Linked DNA regions of Lonchura striata. The protein of the gene in region 2 purifies or fractionates together with the protein of the main gene of each other region. This does not show direct contact. Links are inferred from orthologs where the notes say so. Each region holds a gene or a part of one and is shown on either strand. Other genes may lie near its edges.

Region 1 (10,363 bases), on a different chromosome or scaffold from region 2:
GCTGGGATTTCACTGATTCCGTTTTCATACAGGGGCTTGAAGCAGCACCAGAGTTTTCCCACTGTATGGATGCAGGCAGGGCTGACTGGGAGTTGTCTCCCACATTTCCCTGGCCCTTCAGTGGGGATTCTCCCCAAAAATCACAAGGACAGGACACTTTGGAATAAATAAGGAGATGATAAAGCCAATACTCTTCAAAGTGGTCCATACCAAGGGTTAGGACAAAGCAGAACCCTGCTCTGACAGAATGAAATCCATTGGTACCAGAAAAAGCAGTCCAGTTATTTTTCCAGTCATTCTGGGATAAATGAGAATTAAATGCAGAATTTTACCTTCCTTCCCCAAAGGAGGAAAAGGTGGATAAAACAATAGATAATCACTACAATTCTACTGGTATATTGTGTCACCTTGAAGAGCCAGCACTGGAGAACTCCACAAATGGAACATGCCTTTGTGGAAGTAACCATTCCTGATTTTCCAAAGTTTCTCTGGCATTTTTAAGGCATCCAAAGACTACAGTTCCCATAAGCCTCTTCCTGAAGGACCCATGGAGGTGAGGATGGAAAGGAAGAGCATTCCCCTTCTCCTGATTACTTCTTTCTCCCCTCAGAGGCTCACAAGAAAAGCAGTTCACCCAGAGAGGTTTTTGGTATTCGTTCAAATAATAAAAAAAAAAAAAAAACCAAATAACAAAAAAAAGTCTTAGAACAAACAATAACTCTCATTGCATAAACATCAGAGTCTGTGTAGCCAGAAAGTTATTACATAATTTTTGCAAAAATGTATTTCTTATCAACCTCTTTGCAGAGATGAAACTGTAAACTCAACAAATAATGTATTGTATTCAGTTATAAAGACAAAAGCAGCAGTTCTCTGTAAATAATCCTATCCTACAACAACAGATCTATTTACAAAAGGATTTCAGAAGTTATACAACTCCCATAATATAAAGGTATCAGAAAGTTTTGTACTTTAATATGGAGAACAGTTCTCCAAATGGCATGCAAAATGACCATGGAAAGGCTAAACCGATACCAGGCTGCAATTTTCACCCAAAACCACAAACAGCCACACAACTTTCAACCTGCAGTCCCACAGCCAGGCTTAAAAACACCTGAAATGAACAGGTTTTCAGAGGAATTCCCAAAAGATAATCTAATTATAGCAACAAAAAGTGCTTTTTTTGGTACCAGTAGGTTTTAGTCTTCAGAGCAGCACCCATTCGAGCTCAGAAGAAGCTGTGAAATGCCTGCATGGCAAATAAAAGCTCCGGTTTTGTGTGTTTATTCTTTTCACATACCATCTGAGCAGGTGGTCCAGTGACTTTAAGATGTGGCACATGTAAGCAAGTCTGTCCTAATTAAATGTCACTTGAAAAGCTCGGACAAGGCAGAGTTTTTCCCGGACACCAGAGGTGCTCTGCAGCTTTGTTTGAACTATCAGCCACTTTGCAAAAGTCTCCTACGGCCCTCAGGTGTTCATTCCCACCCTGCACAACCCCCCAGACTCCCAAACTGGATAAATTCCCCGTGAGTCCCTGCTTGTTTCACACCAGGAAGGGAATCCTGCACTGAAAGGGAGAACTCTTGGCTGCTATGAGGTAAAATTATCCTTGTCACTGTCCAGCTGGGGGAGGGGATGCCAATGACAAGTCCCAAATCCATCCAAGTATTGATGCAGGAACTGTAACGCTCGCTCCTGTAACCAACCCTACCTGTAAGCTTGGAAACAATATCAAACTCTTGACCTATTGCCCTCCTGGCTTAGGAAAACCCTGCTGGCTCTTTCAGTTTTGAACAAGATATACTTGCTTCACCCAAGGAATATTCCAAAGCCATGAATTAAACTCAAAAAGCTTCATGAACTTGGATGGAATTTTTAATTCACAGCAAAAAATGTAAATTTAACACTTCACACACATATTCTACTTCAGACTGCAAATAAAAAGTCTAGTTCTAAATAATTCATGTAAGCCAAAAACAAGAAGCATAGCCTACAAAAGTATCTATATATACACACACCAAATATATATAGATAATAGTTAACAAATACTAGCTCAGAGTTATTTTCAGTGTTATTATACTAATTCTATAAAGTATAATTAATTTTCCAAAAATATCCAACCTACAGAGGTTGGGGGAAGGGCGGCGTGGAGAAAGAGAGAAACAAGTTTACCAAAACTTTTTAGGGCTACAGACTATTCCAAGGAGGGAAGTTAAATTCTGCTTGGTTACAAGCAAAGAATTGAGTACTACCAGAAATTAAATGTTTGCTGATTTATCACCAGATATCATCTATGTGTTCTTTGACTTCACACACCTTTCTTGAAGAAAAGGTAAGGAAACACCAAGAAGATAATAAAAAAAGTTGTTAACTTGTTCAAATCCGGGCCCCCATGAAACTCCATCCACCTCAGTGTGACTTCAAGGACCTCCTGGCAGAAATTAACACCACACACTCATTCGGATTCAACCAGGATGGCTGTCAAAAACACGCTTGTCGATTTATTTTGTAGCGAGTTACTCTGCCTTTGTTGATTCTAAATAACAATAAATGTTAATTTCCCTCGATGGCTGTGGAGTAATAGGAGAACTAAGTAACAGCAGCAATCTAGAAACATGATCAAAGAAGCCCTACCTGGTCTTTGGAGGGGCTAAACCCCAAGCTTCAAAGCCGACTGAGATCCAAAACCACACCAATTTCTAAATTTCCAATTCCAGGACTTTAAAACGCGTTTTGTGATCCCACGGCGGCGGGAGGGAACTCTGGCCACTCCAGAGGAGCACCCAGTGCATCCGAGAGGAGCCCCAATTCCTCCCCACAACACAAAGCTGAATCCCTAAAAGGCCGCGGCCAGCTACTAAAAGACGGATTCAGGGAATCATTAATGATGGAAAAGAGCTCCGAGATCATCGAGTCCAACCTACGGCCACCTTGTCAAGCAGCCCATGGCACCGAGAGCCACGTCCAGCCTTTCCTTAAAGACCTCCGGGGACGGTGCCTCCGCCACCTCCCCGAGGAGCGCCCGTGTGTCCCTGCCTGTCCCTGTGCCTGTGTGTCCCTGCGTGTCCCTGTGTCTATTCCCAACGCTGCTCCCTCCTCCTCCCCACCCCCACCGAAGGGATGACAGGCACCTCGCTCAGGTAACTCCTTCCCCATCTCCCTGCACCTTCCCCACCCGCCCCACCGGCCCCTCACAGGTGCCGGGGGCATCCCAATCCTCCCCTACAACAGGTGATGCTCCGAGTCCTGCCGCCCTCCTCGCCGCCAGCCCGGCCCGAGCCCTCGCACCCGCCCACCGCAGGGCGTTGCGCATAACACCGAGAGGCTCCGGGCGAGCTCCCTTCCTCCATCGCCGCTCCCAAGGCCCGGCAAGCCACAGCCGCGCTCCAAGGGGAAAAAGGCCGCGGGCTGCGGCGGGGCGGGCGGGGATGGATCCCGGCCCTGCCGCCGCTCCCGCTCTAAGATGGCAGCGAAGCGCTGCGGCCCCTCCGCCGCGGGCCCGGGCGAGGCGGCCCCGGCTCGTCCCGCGGCGCGGCGTCTCACTCACCCGTGCGGCGGCTTCTCCCGGGGCGAGGCCTCTCCCTCCGCGGGGCGAGTGCCGGGCTCGTCCTCCCGCTCTTCCCCGGGGGCCTCGGCGGCGGCGGCGGCGCCTCCTCCTCCCTCGGGCCGCGGCTCTGCCCGCGGTGGGGAAGGGGAGCCCGGGCGGCCCGGCGGGTCCCCGGCCGGGCTCTGGCTGTTCGCTGCCCTCACAAAATGGCGCGCGGTCCAAACCTGCGCAGCGCCCGGCGGCGGCTCGGCCTCGCCTCGGCTCGGCTGCGATCGGCGGCCTGAGCCCCGGCCGGGAGCGCGGGGACAGCGGCGGGGGGAGCGGGAGGAGCGGGAGGAGGAGGAGGAGGAGAAGGAGGAGGAGGAGGGGATGGGGGGAAGCGCAGCGCCGTACCGAGCCCCCGGGAACTCCTCGCTCCCTCCCTCCCTCCCCCGCCTGCCAGCCGCTACCTCCTCCCCCTCCCTCCCTCCCCGCCCGCTCCTCCTTCCCTCCCTCCCTTCTTCCTCACGAACCGGCTTCGCTTCCCGCACCGCCGCCGCCGCCTCAAGCCCGGCCGCGCATCCCCGGCGGGACCCTCGGAGCGCACTTTTTTTGCGTCCCTTCTTTTCCTTTTCCTTTCGCGGTGGAGGTCGGAGGAAGGAGAAGAAAAAAATAAACTTTAAAAAAAAATAATAACCCCCCCGAGATTCTGGCGGAAATGGAGCTATTTGCTCTTGGGGTTTTTAAATTATTATTTTATTTTAATTTTTTAAAATAATTTTAAATTTAAAAAAAAAAAACCCAACTGACAAAATGGCGGCGGGGGCGAGCCTGTTGCCGTGGCAACTGTCAATCACCCGCGGCCGGGCGGGAGACGGCGCTGACGTGGGGAAGCAAGGGCGGGCCGCTCTCGCCATGGCAACGGCTCCTTCCCCCCCTCTTTCCTGATCCATGCCCGCCCGCCCTCCGGCGTGTGACGGTGTCGGCGGCGCTGCGGGCCGGGATGGCCCCGGCGGGGCGGGGAAGGAGAGCGGCCGCCATTGCCGGTGAAGGGGGAGCCGGCGGTTGAGGCGGCGCCGGCCCCGGCCCGCAGGGGGCGCCGGGAGCGCGAGGCCGAGCCCGCCGGGGCTTCCCGCCCGCCGCCTGTGGGGAGCGGCGGGGCCGGGCGCGGGACGCCAGGCGTTCCCAAAAAACCGTCCAAAAAACGCTCTGGAAGGAGCTTAAAGTGCCTGAACCCGCTGAGGGAAGGCTCCCCTCGGCATTGCGTCCGCGCGTTTTTCTCGACACGCTTAAAAATATCACCCCCCCCAAAAAAAAAAAATACGAGTTGGGAAATGCGCTAAAAGTCGTCCCTGTGGGAGACCCGGCGTTGCTGGGGAGTCACAGGGTTCTGGAAGGTTTCTTGCCCCTCAGAATTGCATCCGGGGGTCTTCCTTGTCCCCTGGAAAAAATCTGTATTTCCCCAAGACAAGTTTTAAAACGCACTAAAAGTCACCCGGTGTGGGAGGCTTGAGCTGCTGAGGGAAGAAGGCTCCTTTCCCCTTGAAATTCTGTCCAGGGTTTTTCTAATTCTCATCAGAAAAAAAAAAAATATATATATGTATATTCCCCCAGAAGTGAGTTAGATGTGGGAGCCTCAAGCTGCTGAGGCAAAGCTCCTTTCCCCTCAGAATTGCATCCAGGGGTCTTTCTCACCCCCCTCTGAAAATCAATATATTCCCCCAAAATGAGTTTTAAAATGCACTAAAAGTAGCTTGGTGTGGGAGCCTTAAGGTGCTGAGGGAATCACAGAATAAAAGGCTCTTTTCCCCTTGGAATTGCATCATGGGGTCTTCCACATCCCCCCTCAAAAAATCAATATATTTCTCAAAAAATGAGTTAAAATATGCACTATAAGTAGCCCAGTGTGGGAGCCTCGAGCTGCTGACAGAATGCTCCTTTCCCCTCGGAACTGCTGGATTGGTGTTTCCAGCCTAAATCTGTGACGAGGTTTTTAAGGGGGTTTTTTTGGTTTGGTTTGGGTTTTTTCTTTTTTTTTTTCTCTTTTTTTTTTTTTTTTTTTTTTTAGTTTCTGGAATGCCCACAAGGATCAAAAAGTAGAGTCTGGCCTTTATCTAATACTTTAATTCTGACGTGTGATACTTTAATCTAGTAATTTCATTTCCTAGCCAGCCTCCTTGGAGAAATTAGGACATGTTACATGTTCCATTTGCTTTTTCTTCCTGTTTTAATTTTTTTTTATTTTTTTATCTTGGCTTAAAAGGTTGAAATAAGCAGCCAAGGATTGGCAGAACGGATGCAGCCAAAGCCAAAGCCCCCCAAATAATTGAAGTGTTGAGAATTTTACTTACATTGTGTGATCACACAATCCCAGACTGGGTTGGGGTGGAAAGGACTGTAAAGATCATCTCATCCCACCCCTGCCATGGGGACACCTCCCATTTTCCCAGGCTGCTCCAAGCCCCAAATCCAACCTGGCCTTGGGCACTGCCAGGGATCCAGGGGCAGCCCCAGCTGCTCTGGGAATTCCATCCCAGGGAAGGATTTCTCCCTGATATCCCATCTAAACCTCTCTTTCTCAGCTTAAATCCATCCCTGTTTATCTTCTCACCCCTTGTGAAAAGTCCCTCTCCAGGGACAGGGGTGCACAGGGCAGAGGAGGGAAATCGCGGGGCCACCCCAGGAGTGACAGAGAGGTGTTAGGTGAGTTGAAATTATCTATGGAACTGCACCTTCCAGCCCTGGGAGGTACTTGGGGGCACCGTGATTTCAGTGATCCTTTCTCATTCCCCTCAGCCCCAGAAGGATTTGTGGTCACTTGGAGCTGCTTTTGACACTTCTCTCGTCGACTCTGAGCATGGCCAGAATGTGGCTCTTGTCCTGGGATGTGGAAAGCAACACCTGAGGGAGCTGGGAAAGGGCTGGAGAGTTCCTGAGGGAGCTGGGAAGGGAATGGAGAGTTCCTGAGGGAGCTGGGAAGGGGCTGGAGAGTTCCTGAGGGAGCTGGGAAGGGAATGGAGAGTTCCTGAGGGAGCTGGGAAGGGGCTGGAGAGTTCCTGAGGGAGCTGGGAAGGAGCTGAGCCTGGAGCAAAGGAGGCTCAAGGGGACCTTGTGGCTCTGCACAGCTCCTGCCAGGAAGGGACAGCCGGGGGGTCGGGCTCTGCTCCAGGAACAGGGACAGGAGGAGAGGGAACGGCCTCAAATGGCACCAGGGGAGGCTCAGGTTGGAGACTGAAAACAAATTTTCCCCCAATTCTTCCTGGCAGAGTGGTCAAGCCTTGGGATGAGCTGCCCAGGGAGGTTTGGAGTCACTGGAATTGTCCCAGAGGAGTCTGGATGTGGCCTTGGGGACAGGGTTTGGGTGATGCTGGTGGCACTGGATGATCCTGGAGGGCTCTTCCAAGGTGGACAATTCCAAGATCTCAAAGGCCAACCTCTGCCCAGTCCCTCAGTCAGGAAGGACAGCTTCGCTCCCAAAGAGGAGCAAGGGGGCATTCCCTGAGGATTTTTTCCCTCTAAAATCTCTTTCTGGTCTGTGTGAGTGCAGTGACAGAAGAGTTTCTCTGTTTCTCAATGTAGGTAACTTCAAAACTCACAGAAATTTGTTACACTGTTCACTGCATTACTGTAACTTCCTGGGGTTTGGGGTTTTTGTCAGGTTTTGAGGAGTTTTTTTGCTAACACTTAAAAATATTACAGAGTTTTCAATAGGTTTTGCATTTGCTCAGTCATCCTCTACTTTTATTTTGCTGGCTCTGGCACCTTGGGCAGAGAAAAAAATGTCCTTTAAAAGTTGATGGCATCTTTTTAAAATGTTATTTTTCAGCACAAACATCTAGATATTTTTGGCTTGTTAATTTTATCTGGATAATGAATAACCTGCATGGTTCTTCCCTTGTACAAAAGTGTTCTCTTCAATATCCATTTCATTAAAAGGCAAGGGGAGGTTCAGGTTGGACATCAGGAGGAATTTCTTCCTGGAAAGGGTTGTCAGGAACTGAACTTGTGTTCTCTGCTGGAGGTTTGGGGCTCGGGTTAGGGATCCTCCAGGCTGGGATTCCACCAGCATCCTGCCTCACCTGGAAACTTTGCACACGAGTTGGGGCCTGGATGAAGGGAATCCAAGTTCTTGCTTATCAAAAATTATCAAAACTTACTCCTTTTTATTTTGTTTAGGAAGGGAGGGACTGCCAAGACAGGAAAGACTTGAGAGTCCTTTTTTTTTTTTTTTTTTTTTTTTTAAACTCTCCATCACAATCCACCTGGAGTAGGTTTGCAGTACTTGAAAACAGGAGTTTGTGAACATTGTGTATATGAATTAGTGGACAGGCTTGTAAGAAATACTTGGATGTCTTTTCCTAAGAGACCACCCCTCAGAAAGCAGAATATCTGGGGTCAAAAAACCCAATAATAAGCAGAAAAATTGAGAAAAAATAAGATAAAAGCACATTGAAAATGAGGAGGAAAGAGTGGAGAAATTAGCTCTAAGTGAGAAAATAACATACAGCAGTCTAGAGAAATGGAATAGATGTAAAAGAAACAACAAAACAGCTGAAGAGTTGGGATTGTTCAGCCTGGAGAAGAGGGTTGTGTGGAGACCTCACAGCACCTTCCAGTGTCTGAGGGGCTACAGAGAAGTTGTAGAGGGACAATTCATCAGGAACTGGAGTGACTTCAGACTGAAAGAGGGGAATTGCAGGTTAGGTATATGAAGAAGTTGTTCCCTGGGAGGGTGGGCAAGCCCTGGGCTGCCCCTGGATCCCTGGCAGTGCCCAAGGCCAGGTTGGACACTGGAGATTGGAGCATCCTGGCACAGTGGGAGGTGTCCCTGCCATGGCAGGGATGGCACTGGATGGTTTTTAATGTCCCTTCTGATCCAAACTATGATTCTATGGCAGTGGAGTGTGATTATGGGTAATATGTCCCATTTTTTCCCTTTCCAGCCTTCCTTCATGGAGAAGAGGGGCCCATTTTCCTCATCATTGTGTGCTCTGGAAGGCTTCATTCCCTGATCCAACCCGCCCTTGTAGCCCTGCAGTTTTCCTCCTGGAGCATTTCCAGTTCTGCCTGAACTCCAGACTTCCTTCTCAGCAACTATGGGCAGCCTGACTTTTCCAGGATTCAACATTTGTGTTTTGAGTTCAAGTTTTGATGTAGATGCTGTGTTGGACCAGCAGCAATTCCAATAATCCTCTGTACCCCACTGCAAGAGGGGCCTTCTTATGTCACCAGACCCAAGCTGGAAGATCTTCAGGAAGAATTCCATCACAATAGATTCTGCTGTTGTGTTTCTCCACCAAAGCCACCACACAGCTCAATTCCTTTGGTGCTGAGCCTCAACTCCAAGTGAAGTCCCAGCAGAAGTTCTCCTGCATGGGTTACATCATCAACACTTCCCAGAGCACTGTGGCAGCTCCCAGACAGCCTCAGTCCCACACGAAACCATCATCTGGAGGGAGCAGCTTGTGTTTCGCCTGTCAAAAAGGTGCTGCTAAGTAACTAATGTGGTCCAGCTCTTTTTAGGCCAGAGGGGTTGCCATGGTAACCCATTCGGATGGAGATAGATCAGCTTTTGAGTCATCATCAGAGCCGGCTTCGATAGTACCGGCTTTGGATTGACAGCCAGAGCTGCACATCGTGTAGGATGGCACGCCTCTGGACCAGAAGGTCCTGGAATTGCTGCTGGATAAGGCTTATTCCCAAAAAAAAAAAGTGCATCTCCCTGATCTCTCCCTGATACTCTGGAATTGTGTTCCTTGGTGTTCACACTCACGCTCCCGAGTATGAAAAGTTTATTTTCCCGTTTAAAACACCAGGCAGGAATTTCTGGACATCAGGAGGAATTTTTTTTTTTTTTTTTTTTTTCATGGAAATGGTTGTTAAGTGTTGGAAGAGGCTGCCCAGGGAGGTTTGGAGTCACCCCATCTCTGGAGGTGTCCCAGGAACACATGGAGGTGGCACTCAGTGCTCTGGGCTGGTGACAAGGTGGGCATCGGGCACAGCTGGGACTTGGTGATCTTGGGAGATCTTTTCCAACCTCAATGATTCTGTGAAAATCCTTCCCCAAAACCATGGAGCTTTCTGAGGAAGAAGTCTCCAGGAAAAAGGCTGTGTTAGTTATCCTAGGGAAAGTGCATACTTTACTTGGAAGTTGTATCCCAGAAGTCCTCCTGAGACCACTTTCCATGATAAATACATTTGTGGGAGTGCAGAACAGTTCCTGTTGAAATCAGGCATTCTGAAGAATTGTGATTCTTTAAAATGTCTGTCAATCAAGTGCTACAATGTCAAGTAATTCCCGTTTGGGAGCTTCTCTATACTCTCAATTTCCAACTTTTAGAGGAAATATGGTTTCTCAGCGTTAGAAAATATGGAAAACAAAAAAAAAGGGAAATTTAATCATAAAGTTCCCCTCACATCCAAAAGGACCAGTGCAATCCATGGCTCTTTAAGATTCTCTCATTCTGCTGACTGCAACATCATTGGATCTACACCTGTTCAATGCCCAGCTTTTGCTTCTCTGCCAGAATTCCTGCAAGAGTCAAAAACTATCCTCAATTCCATTAAAATTCCATTCCTCTTTCATTGGCCCCTTCCCTTTTCAATACCAATTCCCTGCTCTCTTATGCAGTAGGACTGGTGTCTTTGCTGCCAAAATGAAAACTTGGTTCTTGCTGTCAGGAGAAAGCTCCTGGTGCAGCTTCCACAGGGATTTTGTTCTTGAAATTCCAGACCATTATATTTGTGGTATCCTGACACAAATCCATTCAAGAAAGTTCTTAGAAGTATGTTCTGCTTGCTGTCCACTGGATCAACCTCCTGCTAGCAAATAAA
Region 2 (10,332 bases):
CCTACAAAAGGGATAACAGCTACTCCTTTCCATACAGCACCTTAAACTCAAGCACATGAAAATGAAATTTCACTTGAAAGCACTCAGTGGTACAGCTGATAGAAAACTTCATGTAGGTCTCTTTTTTCAATCCTAGCCCAACACTCTATCCAGCAGACCTTATTCTTCTGGTAAATCAAATAGTAACTAGAGGAAGATTTTTTAAAGCTGTAAAAACTCCACAGAATTATTCATATTTCATCCCTGTTACAACTTATTTTTATTTATTAACAGACCTTTTTGCACAGAGTATAAATTTTCACATGCAATCCTTTCTAGAATAAGGCCTAGAAAGTTACAGCCACAAGTAACATTAGCATGGACTGCATATTTGAAATTTCTTCCTCACGATACAGCATAACCCAGAAATTTAAACATTCCCCAAATTGTATTAAAAATTAAAATCACTACAGCAAGCCTGAGCACAGACTTAACAGGATATAACTAAAATTACATGTAATATCAGAACTAAAAAAATGAATTTAAATACATCATAATTTATATTTCCACACTAAAAGAATTAAAATATTACATATAATATCACAAGAGTGAAAAATTAATTTAAATACTTCATTATTTAAATTTCCACACTACTGTCTCAGAAATTAGTCTCTTGGAAAGACAGGTTCCATATGTCCTCTTTGGTATCAAAGTTATGAACAGAATTTAGATGCAGAAACAAAACAAACAATGTACAGTATTATGCAGGTAGATCCAAACATCCTGCATATGAAATGATAAAGGAAGTAGATAATTAAAAAATTTAAATACTCAGTAGCTTCCAATAAAGCTACAGAAATAGCTGCTAGTAAGATGTCTGTGAAAGAATAATCTTTGTACTGAATGTTTAAGAGACTGAACCCTTCCCCTCATCCCCAACCACCTCTATGGGCCAATAAAATACTCATTCAATCTCTTAATATCCATTAAAAATGTACCCAAACAACTTTAAGAAAGTAGAGCAAGATGCTTTTTAGTAAAAATATTGTAACTAGCCCATATAGATATTTTTCGACTAAAACATTCTGACATTCCCACAGTTATGTAGTACTTCTGATTAGAAAAATCTAATAAACTATTTCCAAATTAACAAAAAAACATAATTTTCCTTCCAATCAGACAATTTTCCTTTTGTCTGTGTATCGAAACATCACTGAGCACATCAGTACTCATTTGAACATTTTTCTTTTGTAATATGTGATTGACATTAGTTGAAAAAAAATTCCTGGGGCAGGACTATGGGGATGGACAACACAACTTATTTCTGCAATTCCATTTACAAATTATCCAACCAGCCTGTCACTTTTCTTGGGCAAAAATGAAGGATACCAATCTCTGTTCCATGAGACAGAAGAATATCCTAAAAACAGACTATCCCAATAAACAGAACATATTAAATACCTTCTACAAGATCATTTGTATTCCAAGCTCCACTAGCAATGCAGATAATGGGAATATTTCCTGCTAACTCTACAGGAATTTAAGTCTTACTGCCTTCACCACATTCTGCTTTACCAGACATTGTTGCCTATCCTATTATAGTACTAAGTTGTCACTTTTAGTTATTAGCTATTGCTTAAAGAAGCAGCAAACTGAGACATGATTGTGCTAGGACTCCAGCTAAGTATATAAAGCGTCCATTCTGACTGTACAACACTATGCCTAAAACCCAGTAAAATCCTTCAAGAAAATTCACCTGTGCAACCTCTTGGCTGCTTCATTCCCCCTATCTGCCTAGAAACAAGATGCTCAAGAAGAACAAATAATGAAGTTTTGAACAGTATCTAGTTCTTCTGACCCTATTCCTGCTAGAATGCACAGCAAATGAGCAAAGGAAATTGGTGACATCATTTTACCCCTCTGGAATTTCTCTTACTTGGAAGAATCACAAATAGCAACAAAAAAAGCAGAGGGGAAAGCTGAAATATGCCCATGAAACAGGCATAATAAGGTAAGTTCAGGGCCTCCATTTTTTCTTCTTGGGTCATATGGATCTCTCTGACCTTTATTTTCCTTCCAATTCCACTGCTCATGAGCACTAAAGCTGGAGGGTCATATACTTAATCCAAATTTGCAGAAAGTGTGGCCTCAAAGGGTCTTAATCCCAGTGGTGCTCCAAACAGATGGATAAAGTTCTGTCACTGTACACGTGTTAATATCTGTCAAGCAGAACATGGTGGGGATATACGCTGCTGAGGCATTTAATGGCCTGTCTCTGGATTTCCCCCATAATTGTCAAGTATTTGAAAATAAATAACATCATGAATATATAACATACTACTAATTTTATTCAAGTCACATCCCCTTTTATATCTCAATGATGAAAAGAGAAGATTTTGATACCTATATGGTATGCTTTACTGACTAGAATGATTGTACACTACCATTTTAGCATATCCATACTAACAAGACACAGCAGATGGAGGATTAGTACAAAATAAAATCTGTACAGTTACATGTCAAGTAACAATCAAGTTCCATGTCATTTACTTTTGTAAGGCATATTTTTGTCTTAAATAATAAAGAAAAATGTCAATTACAGACTTCCATGGATTGTGAGGAGTTTGCAATACCTAGGGTTTAAGCACTGCGGTGAAGTACTTTGTTTTACACAATTATCTACTGAATCATGATGAGTTCACTTTTGACAGCTAAGAAACCAAAGTCAATCGGCAATTCCCACTTCATTCCAGGAATATATGGTGTACAAGAGAAACCATAAACATTTTAAAGGGTTTGAATGAAGAAAAGCAACTACACATACCACAGAGGCCTCCGATCTCAAGCTTATAAATTACTGCCCAAATCACTTATACACAGAAAAAAAACAGAATACAGGAACGTGTTTTATTTGAAACGAAGGACAAACATTTTTACCCTTCAGATCAGTATCAGGTACTGCAACGAGTAATTAAAACAAAGACGAGACAGGAAAAAAAGCACCGCACTTTCGTTTTTCTCAAAGTTTCATAACACGACTCAATACGTGTATACTTTTAGTCGAGACGACACGAAGAGAAGAGGGAAAGGAGTTTGCTGGAGCGAAGTGTCAGTTTGTGTCACTTCTGCATTCAGCTGTAACCTTCGCCAAACCTTGTCCCCCACCCCGCCCATCGCCCGCGAGAGGCCGCGGCCGGCGGTCCCGCCCCAGCGGCGCCCGGCTCGCAGCGCCCATAGGATGCGGCTCCCGTCAGTCTCCCATCAGCCCAGCTCCGCCTCCTCAAACAGCAGCAGCCCTAGCCTTCCTATCCGCCTTTTGCCTTCAATAGGCCCTAAAGGACAATGCTGCTTCAAGGGGAAAAAATATTTGTTAAAAATTTTAAAAATTAAAAAAAAAAAAAAGAAGAGGGGAGCGAGCCCCGCCAGATCGGCCCCCGAGGCAGCGCTGTAACGCCGCGGCTCAGCCGGGGCGGTTTCCATCGGCCCCAGCCCGTCCCCAGCTCCCCCTCCCCGGTGCGCTGAACGCCCGCGCAGGATGAAAGGTCACGGCATGAGCACCAGCCGGGCCCGGCAGCGGCGCAACCCCGTCACCTCAACCTCGGGGGCAGGCGGGGCAGGCGAGGCGCTGCCCGGCTCAGGATCTCCCTACCCCGACCCGAACCGCCGCATCCTCCGCTTTGCCGTCTGCTGGCGCCGGATGACACCGGCGGGGGCCGGCACCCGCGGCGGGTGGGTGCTGGGTGCCGCCTTTCCCTCCCTCCTTCTCCTCCTCTGCTCCCGGGCGTGACCCAGCCCGAGGGCACCGAGCCGCTGCTCCCGCTGCAGGCTGGCGCCTCCCTCCCGGCCGCGGCACAAGCCGCTCACCTGGCGCCAGGTCCCGCCGGGATGGAAGAGGGGGAGTCGGCGGCAGCCGCGGAGGGCTCGGCGCCCCTCCCGGGCAGCGCTCTGACCGGGGCACCCCGGCCGGGCCCCCGGCCCCGCCCCCGAGCCCTGCCCGCCGCCGGCCGGCAGCCGCCCCCCGCCCGGCCCCCGGCGCTCCTGTCACCCCCTCCCCGGCCCCTTCCTCCCGCGCCCCCCGGCTCGCTCCCGCCGTCCTGCGCAGCCCAGGAGCGGGACGCGCCGTCCCGGGAAACCGTCCTCCCGGCGGGACCAGGCCCGGCCCCGCCACTCCTCCTCTCGCCGGGCTGTTAGCGGAGCGGGCAGGGATGCGCGGGCCTTCCCGGCCGGGCCCCGCGCCGCCGGCCCGGCGCTCCCGGGGCTCCAGCCCGCCTGTCCCAACGCAGCGGTGGGGAGGAAGCGGGGGAGGGGAAGGGCGCCCGCCGCCGCCTCCCGGCTCCGTCCTCCCGTTCCACGGGCAGGGCGGCTGCCGCTCTCCCTCCCTCCCTTCAGCCCTGCCCCTCCCTCTGCTCCCCGGGCCCGCGGCGGGCATTTACCTGCCGTGGTGGCGCAGAGCGGGGCCCTGGGGCCTCTGGCAGCCGGAGGAGGCAGCGGACTCCGTCCCGCTGCTGCCGTCCCCGAGTGAGGCGGGCGGGACGGAGCCGGGACCTGCCCCGGGAGGCGTTACGTAAACCGGCGGCGGCGGCGGTTCCAGCGCCACGGGGAGGGAAGGAGGGAGGGAGGGGGCCGGGCCGGCCGCTCCGTCACCCGGCAACGGGACTCAGCGCCCCGGCGGACCGTGCCGCCAGCTCCGCCCCGTATCCCTCCGCCCAGAGGGCGGCCCTGATCCCAGAGCCGCGGGGCTGCGCCGGGAGGGTGCGGAGGGCTGGCGACCACCGCACCGGTGGGCGGGAGGCGGGGAGAACCGGGGCGGTCTGTTCGTCCCGGCTCCCCATCCCTGTCCCTATCTCTGCCGTCGGCCTTAGCGCCCGGGCGCCGGCCAGCCGCCTTCATGTCGGGGCCGCGGCGCAGGAAGGGCGGGGGGAGGAGGGGAAGCGTCCTTTGCCCTGGTTGTACAGCCTCCCGCCCGCCGGCGCAGCGCCGTGCCGGCCGCCGGAGGAGGGAGGCGGCGGGCGAGGCGCTGGGACGGCACCGGGCGGGCGGCGGGGAGCCGCGGCCGGAGCACCCGCGCCCCTCGGAGCGCTGTGCCGCCGGCGGGGAACACCCCGGCAGCGCCGGCGCAGGAACGCGAGGGAGGGAGCGGGGGATAATGATGGAGCGTAGCGGTGTTTGTCATGTGAGGTCCTTTTGAAATCCTGACCGACTCCGAGAGCAAGGTTAGCAAATAAAAGTTTATTTTACTGCGCAATGAAAGCCCGTCTGGAAGGGAAGTCGTCTGTTGGAAGATTGTTGCCATTGAAAGTCGGGTTTAGTAGGTGAGCTCCTCGGGAGCCACGGGGATTTTGTTCCAATTGATTAAATGCCAGTTTAATCACGACTGTTTACACAACCGTGGAGTAATGAAAGGGCAACATTTTTAGCATAGTAAATGGGTGAAAATGGGCGACTGTAAGGCTGAAAATATGGCAAGACACACCAAAGTACTCATTAAGCTTCTTAATTGGGAAAATAATGACGCTCTTCTCAGGTGTACACTACCACCCCACATTTCTCAAATGCATGAACACATACGGGCCTGAGGAAAGTCAATATTATGTAAGATGTCAAAGTAAGTCTTCTCTCTGTGTAATCATAAGGTTTTCTTCCTTTTGTTCACTGCTCAACCTGTGGCTCCTAGAGTTCCAAAATGCAGTATGTCATCCATGTTGGCTCACACAGTTTCTTTTGTGCACATCTTCAGTCACTGGAACCAAGATTACCTTTGAAAACATGATCCCACAGTACCGGATGTGGTCCCACATTTAGGCCTTTCAACAAGTTAAGTCTGTATATAAAAAATACATCTCATAACAAGCATGAATGCAAACACTGCCTCCCAGCCTGTATACTCATTTCCTGATACAGAGCAACATTATTCTTATTTTTGTTTTAGCTAGGGTTTGCCAATTTTGAACATCCTTAGCGCCTAATTTAGTCATAAATCTGACTTAGGCTAGCCAAAAGTTAAGTATGCAAGATTGTGTAGCTACATTAACTACCAGCATTCTCTTAAATGTCGTTGAGGCAATAATTGATGTCATATGAACGTGCAGTTAATCTGTTACTTTCTCGAAACCTTGCAGGAGCATTTTTGGAGAAATCTAAAGAGAAAGTAGTGCTTTAAACTGTGATATAAAAGGACAGAATTGTTCTCTGAACTGTTTAATTACTGTTCAAGTTATTTTCTTGTTATGAAAAGCTGAAACTGAAAAGCTTTGGGAAAAAATCCTGCTGACTGTTTTCTGCTGAGTCATTCCCCGGGTTTATCAGAAGCATTTCACCACCGCTGTAACACAACTCGTGCCAATCACAATCAAATCTGCTGTTGTTCAGGAGCTCGGTGTTTGAATTCCCCTTTTCAAGGTAGAATAAGATACACTAAAAATGAGGCACCTGGGATCTGTCTGTAGTAACAATTGGCACCAATTTAAATCAATCTCTATACAGTCCTCTACACATATCCTTGATGGATTAGTAATGTATATCATCAATACAAATCCACTTACTGTATTTCACCCTTTCTAAAGATTTTTTCTCTGAAGATTTGTAGAAGGAAGAGATGCTCAGAACGTTGGTGTTCTAATGGAGCAAGTCAGAGCATGGAGGCCAATGACAGATTATTCTGAATATTCACATAGTTACTGTCAAATTGACAGTTCTAGTTTTGTGGTCAGATCACAGGAATCCCAACAGTAGAACTTTTTTGTTTGTTTGTTGGGTTTTGTTGGGTTTGTATTTTCCTAACAACCAACCCCATTCTTATTTCCATTTGGCAAGCATTTCAGAAACAGCTGGTACATGACCATATGCCGTGCTGGCACTGCTGTGAGCTTATTTCCCACTTGTCCTCCTGGTCAATCAGAGTAGCTCCATGTGCTGAAGGACAGCTGGTCCCTTGGCATGCAAAGCAGCTAATGAACTTTTCCTCCAAAAAGCTGTGGGGATAGAGCATGTGAGCTGCAATCAGTGGGTTTTGCTTTCTGAGTTGCTATCAAAGATGGAAGTTTTCTATGGGAACCCTGTTTGCCTCTGTGTGACAGCCTTCACCCTGAGAACAACTATGTGGGTGTGCATTGTAGGTGACAGCGCTTGTTTGGAAAATGAAGGCTAAATGATGTGTGTTGAAAAGAATGCTAAACCGGAACTGAGTGACTGATGGACTTGTGCCTTAGCTGTCAGCCTCAGCAAGTAGCACTGTTTCCCTTTTTCATTGTGATCCCTGCTGAGAGGGTCTCCAATAAATGTTTAAAAATGTATCCATTTCATAATATATAATTTTTTTCCCTTAAGTAACCTACTGAAGGAGAAATTTCACAGCAGTTCCATATTAGATAGCCACAGCTTGTAAGCATTTTATTGTCAGCCTTCTCTTTCTTCCTTAAAATCAGTTTATAATATTCCCTAAAATTTCCTTGTAGATGCAATAAAAATCCCCTGATTTTCCCTGAGCAGGGATTATGTATCAGTTAGCTTTGAAAGTCATGATAACCAATCAGTAGACAATCCTCTTGTTCACAGTTCATATGAAATGCTTGATAAAAGCAATCTGCCAAATCTGCCAATTCAACATTTTAGAAACAGCTACAGTACCATTTGTGGGGGAATATACATAGTCCAAGAACTTAAAAGATCATTTAAATGTGCAGGATCTAAATATATACATAAAGTTATGTGTTTTTAAAATCTAGAAAATGGACCTTAATGTAAGCTGAAACAGGGAATATCCAACAGACTCATGATGAGTTTTACTTGAAATCTTGATGCACAGATTCAAACTTATATTTATCTCTTTGAAACTATTCTTAATTCTGTGAAGACTTGCCTAACTTTTTTACTTCTTTTCAGGATCCATTTCAGGTTTTAAGCAAAGACATTCACACCTCCCAGAAGTAATAACTCGGTTCAAATGACACATTCAAAAGGCATTCCTCAGCACTAGATCAGGTTTCAGATTCCTTTTTACTGATCCCTATTTCCTAATAATATCCCTGTGCAGTGAAAAACCAAGCTCTACATACCCACAGAATCAGAGGACCACTCTGTTGTCGCCATCAAGGACCTCATCTACTGCAGTGGATGGAATGTGACATTGAATTTTAGTGGGGCTTTCATTGGGCCACAGTTCAACTCTTTTCCTTTCAGAGTCCTCTCAAAGAGGTTTCAATATCTTTAATAGGAGCACATTAGCGTGGTGAGCTTGGAAGATCTGAGTCATTTGAAAAATCAATTACATAATTCAAAGTAAATTTATTTTCTATTCAATCCAACTTGATCACTATAACCTGGGCTCAGTGCTGGTATGTCTTTATGACTCTACTTTTTAAAAAAATATTTGGCTTCATTGTTACTCTTACCCTTTTTCATCCTGCAGCACTTTGACAATTGAGAAACCCTAATAATACCTTGAGAAACCCTTGGACAGCCCAAAGGAATACATGAACAGGACTCTGTCTCAACATGGTGCTGTGTGCCTAAAACAGACTACCTGAGGTCTATAGTAAAAAGTACTTAGAGAAAATTATAAAGAACTATGATAATTGTCTGTAGCCATTTGGACAAACTGCCAAGCAGTTTAAAAATATTTAAAAAATGAAAATGTTACACTACATAATGAATGTTAAGGTCCAAATACCTGGATACAGCATTTGAAACCATACACCAAGGAATAGCTTTCACTTGTGGTGTACTAAAAGGACTACAGGAAATACAGTGTTACAGAAATAAAATAATTTTCACAAGTGATGAAATACAAAGCAAGTATTACATGCAATTGCATTTTAAGGACCATTAGTCACCATTAAATATACCAGTCTCTCAAATTCTGATCTTTTTTGTAATGCATATGTAGAAGAAATTTATATCATAATAAGATATGAATTTAATTGCATTATATTTGTTTCTACATCAGCTATTGTCAAGCTATTAAGTTAATTACATGTTAAGTTTTAAACTAGATGAAACACATTATGACATCTGTTTTTTCCTATATACTACAGCCATTTTAGAATTACCATGTTGGAAATGTGTGAGGTTTAGGCAGCTCACTGTCTTACAAATAGTTCATGAATACAATTAAACATCCTTGAGTAGCCTGCAGCATCAGCATCCAATCCTTGTCCTGCTCATCAGAGATATGGTATTGTTTGCATTAATTCCACTGTTTTTTTTCCTAGATATTGACCATATTCTCAGTCAGTGAAAATGCTGAAGAGTTGAATGCATTCTCATAGCTGGCAATCTGGCCACAGATTTTGGAATGAATATACTACCATCTTTATTAATGATCTATAAACAATGACAGGTGAAAGAAACACTTGAAATTTTATTGAGTTATTAAAGCAATTGCACTGAAGGTGCAATTAATCTTTTCCTTAGCATTTTCTTAAGATGATCTACTGTTGAAGACCCTGGTAATAGAAAATATTCCTTTGTGTATTAATGGCTTGTTGTCCTGGCACTTTGACATTATGTTTTGACTGATCAAAAAATTTTCTTATCTGATCCCGTAGTAAAAAACTGAAAAACTGCAAAGCAAAAAGGTTGCATGTTTTCAAATGCTTAAAACAAACAAAAAAAACCCTCAAACTTGGTTTGAAAGTTGAGACTTGAAAGTGAAGGAATCTGTAGACATGACTTGCAGACTGTAAGAAGATTATTGTTGTTGTTCTTAATAATAAAATGTTGAGATTTTTATTTGTGTGAACTTTTTTATCTGTGTGGGAGCAAAAGGCAAAATGGCCATTGCTGCTTTCTGATAGAACTGATAAGCTGGGAAGTGCTGCCATTAGAAATAACTCATTCTGTAGATATCAAAGAACTGTTAAAAGTGGCTGATTAATACCAGCAGCCATTACAATGAGGGGAAAAAGTAAAAGTTTGAAAAAAGCAGCATTTAAAAACAGGTATTGAATCCCAAACAAATATACTACTATTTTGATATTAAGGGGGGAAAAAAAATTGGCAGTACATGCAGAGCTCTAGTATCTGCATTTCCAAAGCTGCTCTAGGAAGAGATTTCTATCTGGTGTGATTGACTACAAGGCTGTCAGCCTGAAATAGAAACCATTTGAGCAGCACGAGAGAAGGAGAGGGTATTTTTCTGTCAAGAAGTAGCTAATATTTCAATATTTTCCAACTAGACTGATATGCTCTGAAAAGTATATTTCATGATATTTTGGCTTGTAATTCTAACTGAATTAAATTAAATGCTCATTTGAAGAGTTACTCATTGGAACCTGTTAATGGGAAGAAAACTACTTCACTTTCCAACGCTGGGTTATGTGTTTATGCTAAAAAGGTGTTTTCTCTCAATAGAGT

The links. Proteins that work in one complex are often made in the same cells at the same time.
Region 1: the proteins of KIAA0232 (region 2) and DYRK1A purify together in Homo sapiens (affinity purification with mass spectrometry; 3 studies listed by BioGRID and IntAct, with this or other methods). This does not show direct contact. The link is inferred for Lonchura striata from reciprocal best matches to the Homo sapiens genes KIAA0232 and DYRK1A.

The regions. Positions count from the first base shown.
Region 1 is NC_134604.1:114,751,332-114,761,694, forward strand, and holds the start of DYRK1A (dual specificity tyrosine-phosphorylation-regulated kinase 1A), read right to left. Parts: upstream 4,180-10,363; 5' UTR 4,063-4,179; intron 3,845-4,062; exon of another isoform or gene 3,551-3,844; intron 1-3,550. UniProt on the Homo sapiens protein: Dual-specificity kinase which possesses both serine/threonine and tyrosine kinase activities. Exhibits a substrate preference for proline at position P+1 and arginine at position P-3.
Region 2 is NC_134606.1:11,910,070-11,920,401, forward strand, and holds the start of KIAA0232 (uncharacterized protein KIAA0232 homolog), read right to left. Parts: upstream 4,539-10,332; 5' UTR 4,413-4,538; intron 1-4,412.